Neurospora crassa OR74A: one gene and its partner. The protein of the gene in region 2 interacts with the protein of the main gene of each other region in a pairwise test. Links are inferred from orthologs where the notes say so. Each region holds a gene or a part of one and is shown on either strand. Other genes may lie near its edges.

What was found.
Region 1: the proteins of NCU08026 (region 2) and NCU00812 interact in binary tests that used the Saccharomyces cerevisiae proteins (3 or more experiments, as listed by UniProt). The link is inferred for Neurospora crassa OR74A from reciprocal best matches to the Saccharomyces cerevisiae genes MTR3 and SKI6.

The regions. Positions count from the first base shown.
Region 1 is NC_026501.1:7,076,991-7,081,543, reverse strand, and holds NCU00812 (exosome complex exonuclease RRP41), read left to right. Parts: upstream 1-1,620; 5' UTR 1,621-2,227; coding exon 2,228-2,535; intron 2,536-2,644; coding exon 2,645-3,158; 3' UTR 3,159-3,458; downstream 3,459-4,553. Other genes in the region: NCU00813 (disulfide isomerase), read right to left, coding at 3,459-4,553. UniProt on the Saccharomyces cerevisiae protein: Non-catalytic component of the RNA exosome complex which has 3'->5' exoribonuclease activity and participates in a multitude of cellular RNA processing and degradation events.
Region 2 is NC_026504.1:3,956,421-3,960,620, reverse strand, and holds NCU08026 (3' exoribonuclease), read right to left. Parts: upstream 2,474-4,200; 5' UTR 2,281-2,473; coding exon 2,148-2,280; intron 2,089-2,147; coding exon 1,361-2,088; 3' UTR 1,289-1,360; intron 1,227-1,288; 3' UTR 529-1,226; downstream 1-528.

The DNA of each region.
Region 1 (4,553 bases), on a different chromosome or scaffold from region 2:
TTATGCAGCACCTTTGACCCACTGCAAGAATAGGTAGGTCACGTCCAGCTTGCCAAAGTCAAAGAAGCCATTGTTGTTTCGCTGACAATAGACTCGTCATCGTGACCCCATTCGTTGAGTTCCTTTCTCTTCGTTTTCACTCAAAGGGGCCCAAGACAGGACGCACGTGCATTGACTGGTGTTCTGGAGATTAGGTGAGCATGGGGGCGGGAAGGTTCCGTTGCTCTGGCGTCAAGGATAGCAGCGCTAGCCCTGTTTCTCGAAGCCTGGTCGCGGTCGGGTGGTCTGAAACGAGATGAACGGAAACGGGGGCAATGCCAACCAAAGAGCTTTGATCCCTAACACATGTCCGGATTAAGTGCCGCGAAATGTGTTAGCGAGCCCCCTTGGCTAATTCATGGTTCGTTCATCCACAGTTTGATTAAAAGTGTAATGCGAATTGGCGTTGGCGGGTCGTTCCTTGGTAGACTGGGCAACACAGCACTTCCCCATTGCCCCGTTTCTCCGTTCCATTGGACCCCGTGGGCTGGTCGGGCCACCAGCGCAGTAATTCTTCAATGAGTAAGCGCGCACCTCGAGGTTTTCACAGTGAAACGAGAAACAAACCGCGCCTGATGAAACTGTTTAGTTGACAAAGACATTGTGGTCACTGGATGACGACTTGCTCATGGTGGATCTCTGTTCAGTCATATCGATAGACTAGGCCAATTCGTGCTAGCCTGGGCCGGCTGTCTAGGGCTGCATCATGCGCCGACCGACGGCGCCTCCTAGTGTAGAGACTTGATGTTGAACAAGTCTCCCCAAAAACACCAAACGGAATCCTCTTGAACCTTGATCGATTCGCACCCCAGATAGGGAGCTCCAGGAGCATTGGCGAGCGTTCCAGACTTCTAGAACCGGATCACTCTTGGGTCCGAGATGATAGAAGATGACGACGCGCTCAACCGAGGCTTCCAAGAATACAAACCAATTGACATTTCGAACACCCAGCGCATCGCGGTACCCATGAGATGATCTTGGTGGCCGTTGTCCCGTATTCACTTAGCGAAGGGGGGAATGGAGGAATGCCGGTTTCCTCCTTGCTGTTGACAAGGGGTCACTGCCACTGCCACAGTGTGCCCCTGAGTAGAGGTAGCCTACCTACCTCTAGGTAGGCTACCTAGTAGTGATCACTCCTGAGTCCAGACTTCAGGCCCTCTCCTGCTCACAATGCACGATCAAGATCCCATCAACATTGCGCATTCGATTGATATCTTGCCATCAACTCACTGTACCGCTATGAGCTGGAGAGGTCAAATGGGGGCTGTCAAGATCACGTGGAGAGTAGATGGACGGGAACCTTCAATTCCATGTTCCGGGGCCATCACGTCCCGTCCTCTGTCTGCAGCTGCAAACAACTTGCCTACAAGTAGTGTAGAGGTATGCACAGACCACTTGCATGCATTTTCAGCTCCTGATGGAAGCGAAGCAGAACTTAAGCAGAAGCCCTGCGGATGGAACTCCCGTCCTGCCGAGTGAGGTGAGCGGTGGAGCCCGGCACGGCGACCCCGCGAACGTGAGACGCAGCGGATCTTGCCCCGCCCCGCCCAGCTAAACTTTTCCTGTCTTGCCATTGGAAACTTTCGGCCTGGCCCAACCACGTCCGTTTATTCCTAGCAAAAGGCGATTTCAAAGTCAACAACCGTCCACCAGAACCTGCTGTCGATTATTCAGACTGGTCGACCGGAAGCTCCGAATTCCCACTTTGCGCGATAACTTAGTCACTGAAACTGGGGCCCCGACACTTCCGCATTACGCAAGCCTTTCTCTCCTCCGACTCAACGTACCGAGAGCTTGCGCGTCGCTCGCGGCACGATATCGCATCGAATAATCTGTCCCATCGAGCCGAAACTGTACGCACTAACCACGATCTCCCAGATCGAGCTTGGCCGACCCGACTCGAAGAACGACTAGGGTACAACTACAAGCACAACCTGAGCTTGGTGGACACTAAGCAGGGGAAGCAAGAGCAAAAAATCTCGACTCAGGTCCGGCTCCCCAGACAGGCCCTCAGGGCGTTTGTTGTTGTTGATCCTTACTGGATACCGTACCCCAATCTCGACCTTTGGTGTACTCGCTACCTGCCCGGTAGAGAGATTAGCCCGAACCACGATACCCAGAGGAGTAGAGTGAAACGCTAGAACAACAGAACATAGAAAGAAACACCTGTCCACCCAGCTACACCGCTATGCCTCTCGATACTTCAGCATATAGCCTCGCGCTGTTGCGCGTCGACGGCCGCAGGTGGAACGAGCTGCGTCGCATCCATGCCCAGATCCGCACCCAGGCCGCCGCCGATGGCTCCAGTTACCTCGAGATGGGCCACACCAAGGTCATGTGTGTCGTTAACGGACCCAGCGAGCCCGGTCCTCGGAGGGGAGCCACGTCGGGCGGTGGTGGTGGCGGTGGTCAGTCCAAGAACGCCGAGGTTGCTGTAAACATTGTCATTGCCGGGTTTAGCTCGGTTGACCGTAAGCGAAGGGGGAGAGGTGATAAGTAAGTCAAAACACCCAGGGGTTGTTTCCCCCCCAGTGTCAACTACGGCTATTCGTCTGTCACTGTTCGCATAACTAACCCGTCATCCTTCCTTCTTCCATCATCACAGGCACATCCTCGAACTCCAATCGACGATATCTCAAGCCCTCGCTGCCAGCTTACACACCCACCTCTTCCCGCACTCCACCATCAACATCTCCCTGCACGTGCTCTCGCAAGACGGCTCTTTGCTGGCCGCCCTCATCAATGCCGCCACGCTCGCCTGCGTCGACGCCGGCATTCCCATGACAGACTACGTCGCGGCCTGCACGGCCGGCTCGACGTCTACATACGCGGCTAACGACGAGGGCGCCGACCCGCTGCTGGACATGAACCACCAGGAGGAGCAGGAGCTGCCCGGCCTGACGGTGGCCACATTGGGCGACAGCGACCGCGTGGCGGTGCTGGTCTGCGAGAGCAGAGTGCAGGTGAGTCGCCTGGAGGGCATGTTGGCCGTGGGCGTGGACGGGTGTAAGCAGGTGAGGGAGATCTTGGACAGGGTAGTGAGAGAGAAGGGGATAAAGATGATACAGGAGGGCACGGTCGAGAGAGGGGTTGGGTTGAATGACATGGAACTGGATTGAATGGACACTACTGAATCAATGGTTGGGCTCCGGGTCACAGAATCGGATATGGTACGGTAGGTAGCATTACAAAGGCTTGGAGCAAAAAAGAATAGGCAACATGACGAATTTGACGAATTTCACGACTATCAATGTAATCAAAAGTACAGCTCTTGGTCAGGTGAGCAACATGTCGTTTCTGTTAAACGTGCGCCAACTTTTGAAAGCGTTCTCCGAAACTGAAAGGTACCAAAAAACCTTCAACTTTTGACCAGCCATTCACTGACACAAGTCACAGCAAACTACGCTTTCACCAATCTCTCACAGCTCATCGTGACCACTGGCCGTCTTCGACTGGGCCTCAGGCGTCTCCCCCTCCTTTGAAGCAGCCTTCTCAGCCTTACCAGACTCTTTCTTTTCCTTCTTCTTCTCCTCCTCCTCCGTCGAAGAAGCCTCAACAACAATACCCTCCGGCAGCTTTTTCTTGGTGCCCTCGCTCAACCTAATCGCATCAATCCACGCCTCCACCTTGTCATGATCCGAGAAATCATCTCCCTCACCAACAGCGTCGTAGCGTCTCCACCATCCGCGACGGGCGTTGATGACGATGAGTTCAATGTCAGCATCCTCCTTGAGGCCAAGGGATTTGAGAAGGGACGCGCCGGCGGGGTTGGTGTCGAGGGGCACCTCGTAAAAGGGGAAGAGCTTGTGTTGGCCGAGGGCATATTTGAATTTTATTTCGGCGAGGTGGGTGAGGGCCTTTTGGGCTTTTTCGTTGGAAGAGGATACCAGCGCGAGAAGGCAGGTGCTGGATTTGGACGTGAGGCATTCCTTGACGAGCTTTTCGGGGGTGTTGAGGGAGGGGATGGGGAGGGCGGTGTGGATTATTACGGGAATCTCTTGGGTTGGGGCAGGGGTTTCGGAGGACGTTTCAGAGGAGGTTTCGGAGGAGGCGACCTTCTTGGAGTCTTGCTTTCCGTTTTTTTCACCACCGTTGGCCTTGCCGTTGGCCTTACCATTAGCCTTGCCATTAGCCTTGCCATTAGTCTTGCCATTAGTCTTGCCATTAGTCTTGCCGTTGGCCGGTGCTGGGTCCGGATTAGGCTGGGCCGCCTGGGAAAGGAACTCCACCATGGCGGCCTTGTTGATCTCGCCGTCGTACACAATACCAGGGGCATCACCGCCAGGCAACAAGATCAGAGTAGGGAGTTTGTCGACACCGAATGTGGATACCGCCTTGGACTGAGTGTTTCGCACCTGACCGACGGGCATGACACCGAGGAATTCAATGGCGACGCTCTTCAGCAAGGGGGAGGTGGTACCCTTGTCGGTGAAGAGGAGCGCTTTGGCTGTCTCGTTCTTGTCACTCAGGAACTTGTCGAGGTTCTTGTCCTCGACTTTCACGACGTGATTGTT
Region 2 (4,200 bases):
CCGCAAAACGAATGGACAAAACACTATGGAATAATTAAAAGTGTACAGTGTGGTAGGTAGGTAGGTAGGTAGGTAGGTAGGCAGCCGGGACCGTCGGAAGAAACGAGAGTAGGGGTGGTTTTGGGAAAAGTGAAATGACCAGGTGCGAAGCGAGAGAAAACTCGCCCGAAAGCTGGGTGAGGTGAGATTTTGGAGGATGACGGGAAAGATTGGATTGTCAGGTCGTTTTACAATTCCCGCCTGAGTGGACAATGTGGGCCGAACTGGGAAATGTCTGTAGTTTTTTGGAGGGACCGTGGGGGGGCAGATAAGGAGAAGTTCAGGGGAAAGAGGGGCCCGGGACCACGCCACGCCGGGGGGCGCCCCGTCGCTGAACGCGGCCGGCACTGTGCCAATATGTGAGTGGTGGTACCACGTCCGCCTTCGGATGCAGTGACTTCAGTTCCATTGGGTTTCCTTGGTGGCGTTCGTAATGCTGAAAGTTACGGACCAGAACGCCGGTAATAACGCAACGTTACTCGATCTTTGTGCAGATTATGTAGTTGATCATGTTATGTTACCTCCACCTCGAAATGTTGATAAAGATACGAGCTATTCACCACAGTCCCCTTCAGATAAAGTGATTAGATCGTGCCGGACACGAAAAGAAAGTAGTTCAGGTGTAGTGTATGTATGCCCTACGCAGTAATAGTGAAACCTCGGTTCATGATCAGCCACCACCTTTGGCCATGTCTGCCCTGCTTCGAACATGCCGTGCTGCTATGAACGAAACGATACGCGTAATCTCCCCACATCATGTTTCCAATTTCAGAAACAGACGATCATTGAGGCGAAGAACGTGGAAGCTTCTCATACCCCGCGGTTCATAATGTTTCGGCAGTCAACCTCAGAGGGTAGCTCTGCATACCAGCCACAACGCTTCTTGGACGTCATTCGTCCATCACACTGCGATCTTCCAGCTGAGTTTCAGCAAAAGAGCGCTCGCTCAACCTGTCAGACCTTGACAGGCATCTCGAAACTATTCCCGCCGGAAGTTGACCATTCCATTCTTGCAGTCAGCCGCCGAACCTCGGAACGCAGTTCTGTTGTCGCTGCTATCGATTGGCATCTTCCGTTACTTCTGCCCTACATATGGGCTATTGCGAAAGACCAAGTGGCTGGTAGCTCGACCTATTGCATCAGAAGCTGGTCTTCGGGTCGATAAATCGACCAAAATCGTAGAGGTACTCAAAGACCATGAACCGTCAGACCATAGAATTCCATGCGTTTTTCCCGTTGATGGACTTACAGGTTTCAATACGAGTATTTCCCATTCGCGCATAGCTAAAACAAATAATACATTGCCGCGCCGACCTCATGATCACCCAACGGTCTCGTTCAGGCAGTCCACGAGCACGCGGTTGGCGCTCTTGGAAGCCTGAATGCCCTTTTCAATCAGCTGCGTATAAACGTCCATATCGGACGCAGGTAGGTCACCCTTGAACCAGAGGTTGGTGACCTCTTGTCGTGTGGGAAGATATGCGATGCAGCACGCTGCAAGAACCTTCTCATGCTCAGAAGGAATCGGGTCGACAACTATGCTGGGAGCAGCGTCATTACCTGCGTCCTGTACCAACGCAGCAACACCTCCGGCCACAGTGTCGACGCAGTCAATGCCAGCGTCAGCAAGTGCAGCCGAGGCAACGGTGATGCAGCCACTCAAGGCATTCATGGTGTCCCAGGCCTCAATACCCTGGGCCTTGGAGGTCTCCCGATCTTGCTCTCCTTCAACAATGGAGATGATGATATCCACTCCACTCTTTGGCCAACGGTCAGCAATGATAGATCCCCGAAGAGCCGTCTCAAGGTGAGTGCCGAGATCTCTCTCGATCGGGTCACGAATGTAACCACGCCTTTGCTTGGTCGCAAAGGGTGCAAACTTGACATGGGTGGACAAGATGATGTGAGGAGAAAAAGGTGTTGACCTGGGCAAAGCTCTAGGTCCATGAACGCTGCAACTGAGCTTCAAGCCAGAGCCGCCGTTTCCAGACGACTCGATCTCTAGGTAAGCAGAGCCAGAGGCCGACGGTGTCACTCCCGTCTTGAGATCTAAACGTGAGGTTAGTCTGTGTCTGCGAAACAGGAGGGTTTGTCCTCGACGTGCTTACACATTTTGCGAATTACGTTCGCCGGGCGTGACCTTGTGACCTTGAAACCTTCGGATTGCTTCTCGGGTGCATCGTCATAGATGGGAGGGTTGGTAGTCCCAACCGGTCCGTTAATACGTCTTCTGTCGGCCATTTTGAAGCCAAGATACGAGGGCCGGAGATATGGTGGGCTTGGTGATTGCTGTGTTGTTTCCGATGCCCTTCTCTGGTCGAAGAATCCTGAGATAGGTGAAGAGGAAGAGACCTCGTCTGTGTATGGCTTTCCTTGTTTCACGGTTGGTAACTTCTGTTGGTACCTCTGTTGACTGTTGAAAACAAGACGTGAGAGTCGCCGTCTACACTGCAGTGGGTCCACTCTCAAATTCAAGTAGTTGTGGCGCAACCTCACATTCACTGTCGATTTTGATCAGTCAGCCACATGCCCCACCCAGAATTCCATGTCAAAGCCACCGATGGAGGAATTTTTTGCGCAGCTACAAAACTCTGCCGCCTTCAGTTCCAACCTCATCTTGAACTCTTCCACCAACCCACACCGTTCGCAACGGCAGGAACGGCTTGCGATTGTCGGCATTGGATCAATGCCTTCATTTGATATGGCCACTGTCTTTGGGGAGCAGCCATGATACCATGGTCTTACCGTGCTCATGGTCGCTTTGGTTGGGCAGCCTTCTGCGCTGGCGCAGCAATGGCATGGTCATGTCAACTGTCCAGGCATGCTCTTGGTTATTCTGCGATGGCGAACCCCATTGCTAGAGAGCATGTCCTGGCTGTCTGACATGGCCGACGTTGGTTCGCACGGATAGAGTAAGTTTATTTCCCCTTGCCTTTCACATCTCATGATGATCCCATAACCACAGTTCTCGCGATAATCTCTGAGCGATCGAACAAACATGCACTACCATCTGACTACTCCTTCAACACATCCTTCACTTGCAACTCATTTGGAGGAACCGTTGACTGACAATCAATAGTACAGACAAAGTTGTTATTGTCACCGTTGCTGTTCCACTCCGTTTTCTCAGTCTCTACCCACTAGGTAAGCATCACATTGTTTTCCTTTCTGTTTTCTTTCCCCCACCTGACATCATCACCCACCCGATTGTCCATGATGAAACAAAATATTTTCAGTTCTGCTTCTGAATAATAATGAGCGATAACCAATTATACCAAAACCTTCTGATATGGCAATCACCCCAACTCTTTCTTGCAACGACAGCCCTCACCACACATGCTGCGAGCAAGTTGGCTAACAAACTTCAAGTTATATAGGATCTGAAAACGATCTTGCGTCTAGTGGGAGAGTCGACATGCCCATCTGGTAGGTACTTTGCCTTTTTTTTTTTTCCTTTGTCCCATGCACAATGATGACAACAGTCTATCCATTCAACGATATGTACGGGCCGAGCCATCCATCCGCACTGGAGCGTCTTTCGGGGCGTGAGGACTAGTTGTGGTGTCTCCCTTCGGGGTGTCATTTGGCTTCCGTTGTCCGAGTCTCCTGCGCACCGTTTTGGGGCGTGGGAGGCTTGGGCCGGCTTTGTAGGGCTGAGTTAAAACGGCTTGTCTGATCTGTGTCGTCTTCGCCTTCTGCTCGATGCCGATTCGCGTATGACCTTGAACTGACCGGTCAGTAGTTGATGGCGTGAACGTTTCATACGTTTTGTTGCAACGCATCTTTGACGAGGTAAGGTTTGTGTTCATGACTCGACAACTCAATGACCCCAGTAAAATTGGATGTAGTTGAGGATCGACGGTGTGCCTGTCCTTGACATTTACATAGGGCTTCAAGATATCAGCAAGGATAGAACAATGAAAACAAGAGTTGCAAAATAGTTGATTATCTCCAATCAGACCCAAGATATTGCCCTTGATGATGTGCAGGAGAAGTCCAAACCCAGTAGAACGAATGACCGGACACTTGCCGCGACGTAAGCCCGGTTTCCCTTCAAATCATCTGTGTCTCGAGGTTGAACATCAAATAAATTGAAGACACACCCTGATGTACCCATCTGTATTGCACACAGATGATAACTACGGCACAGACTCGACGGTA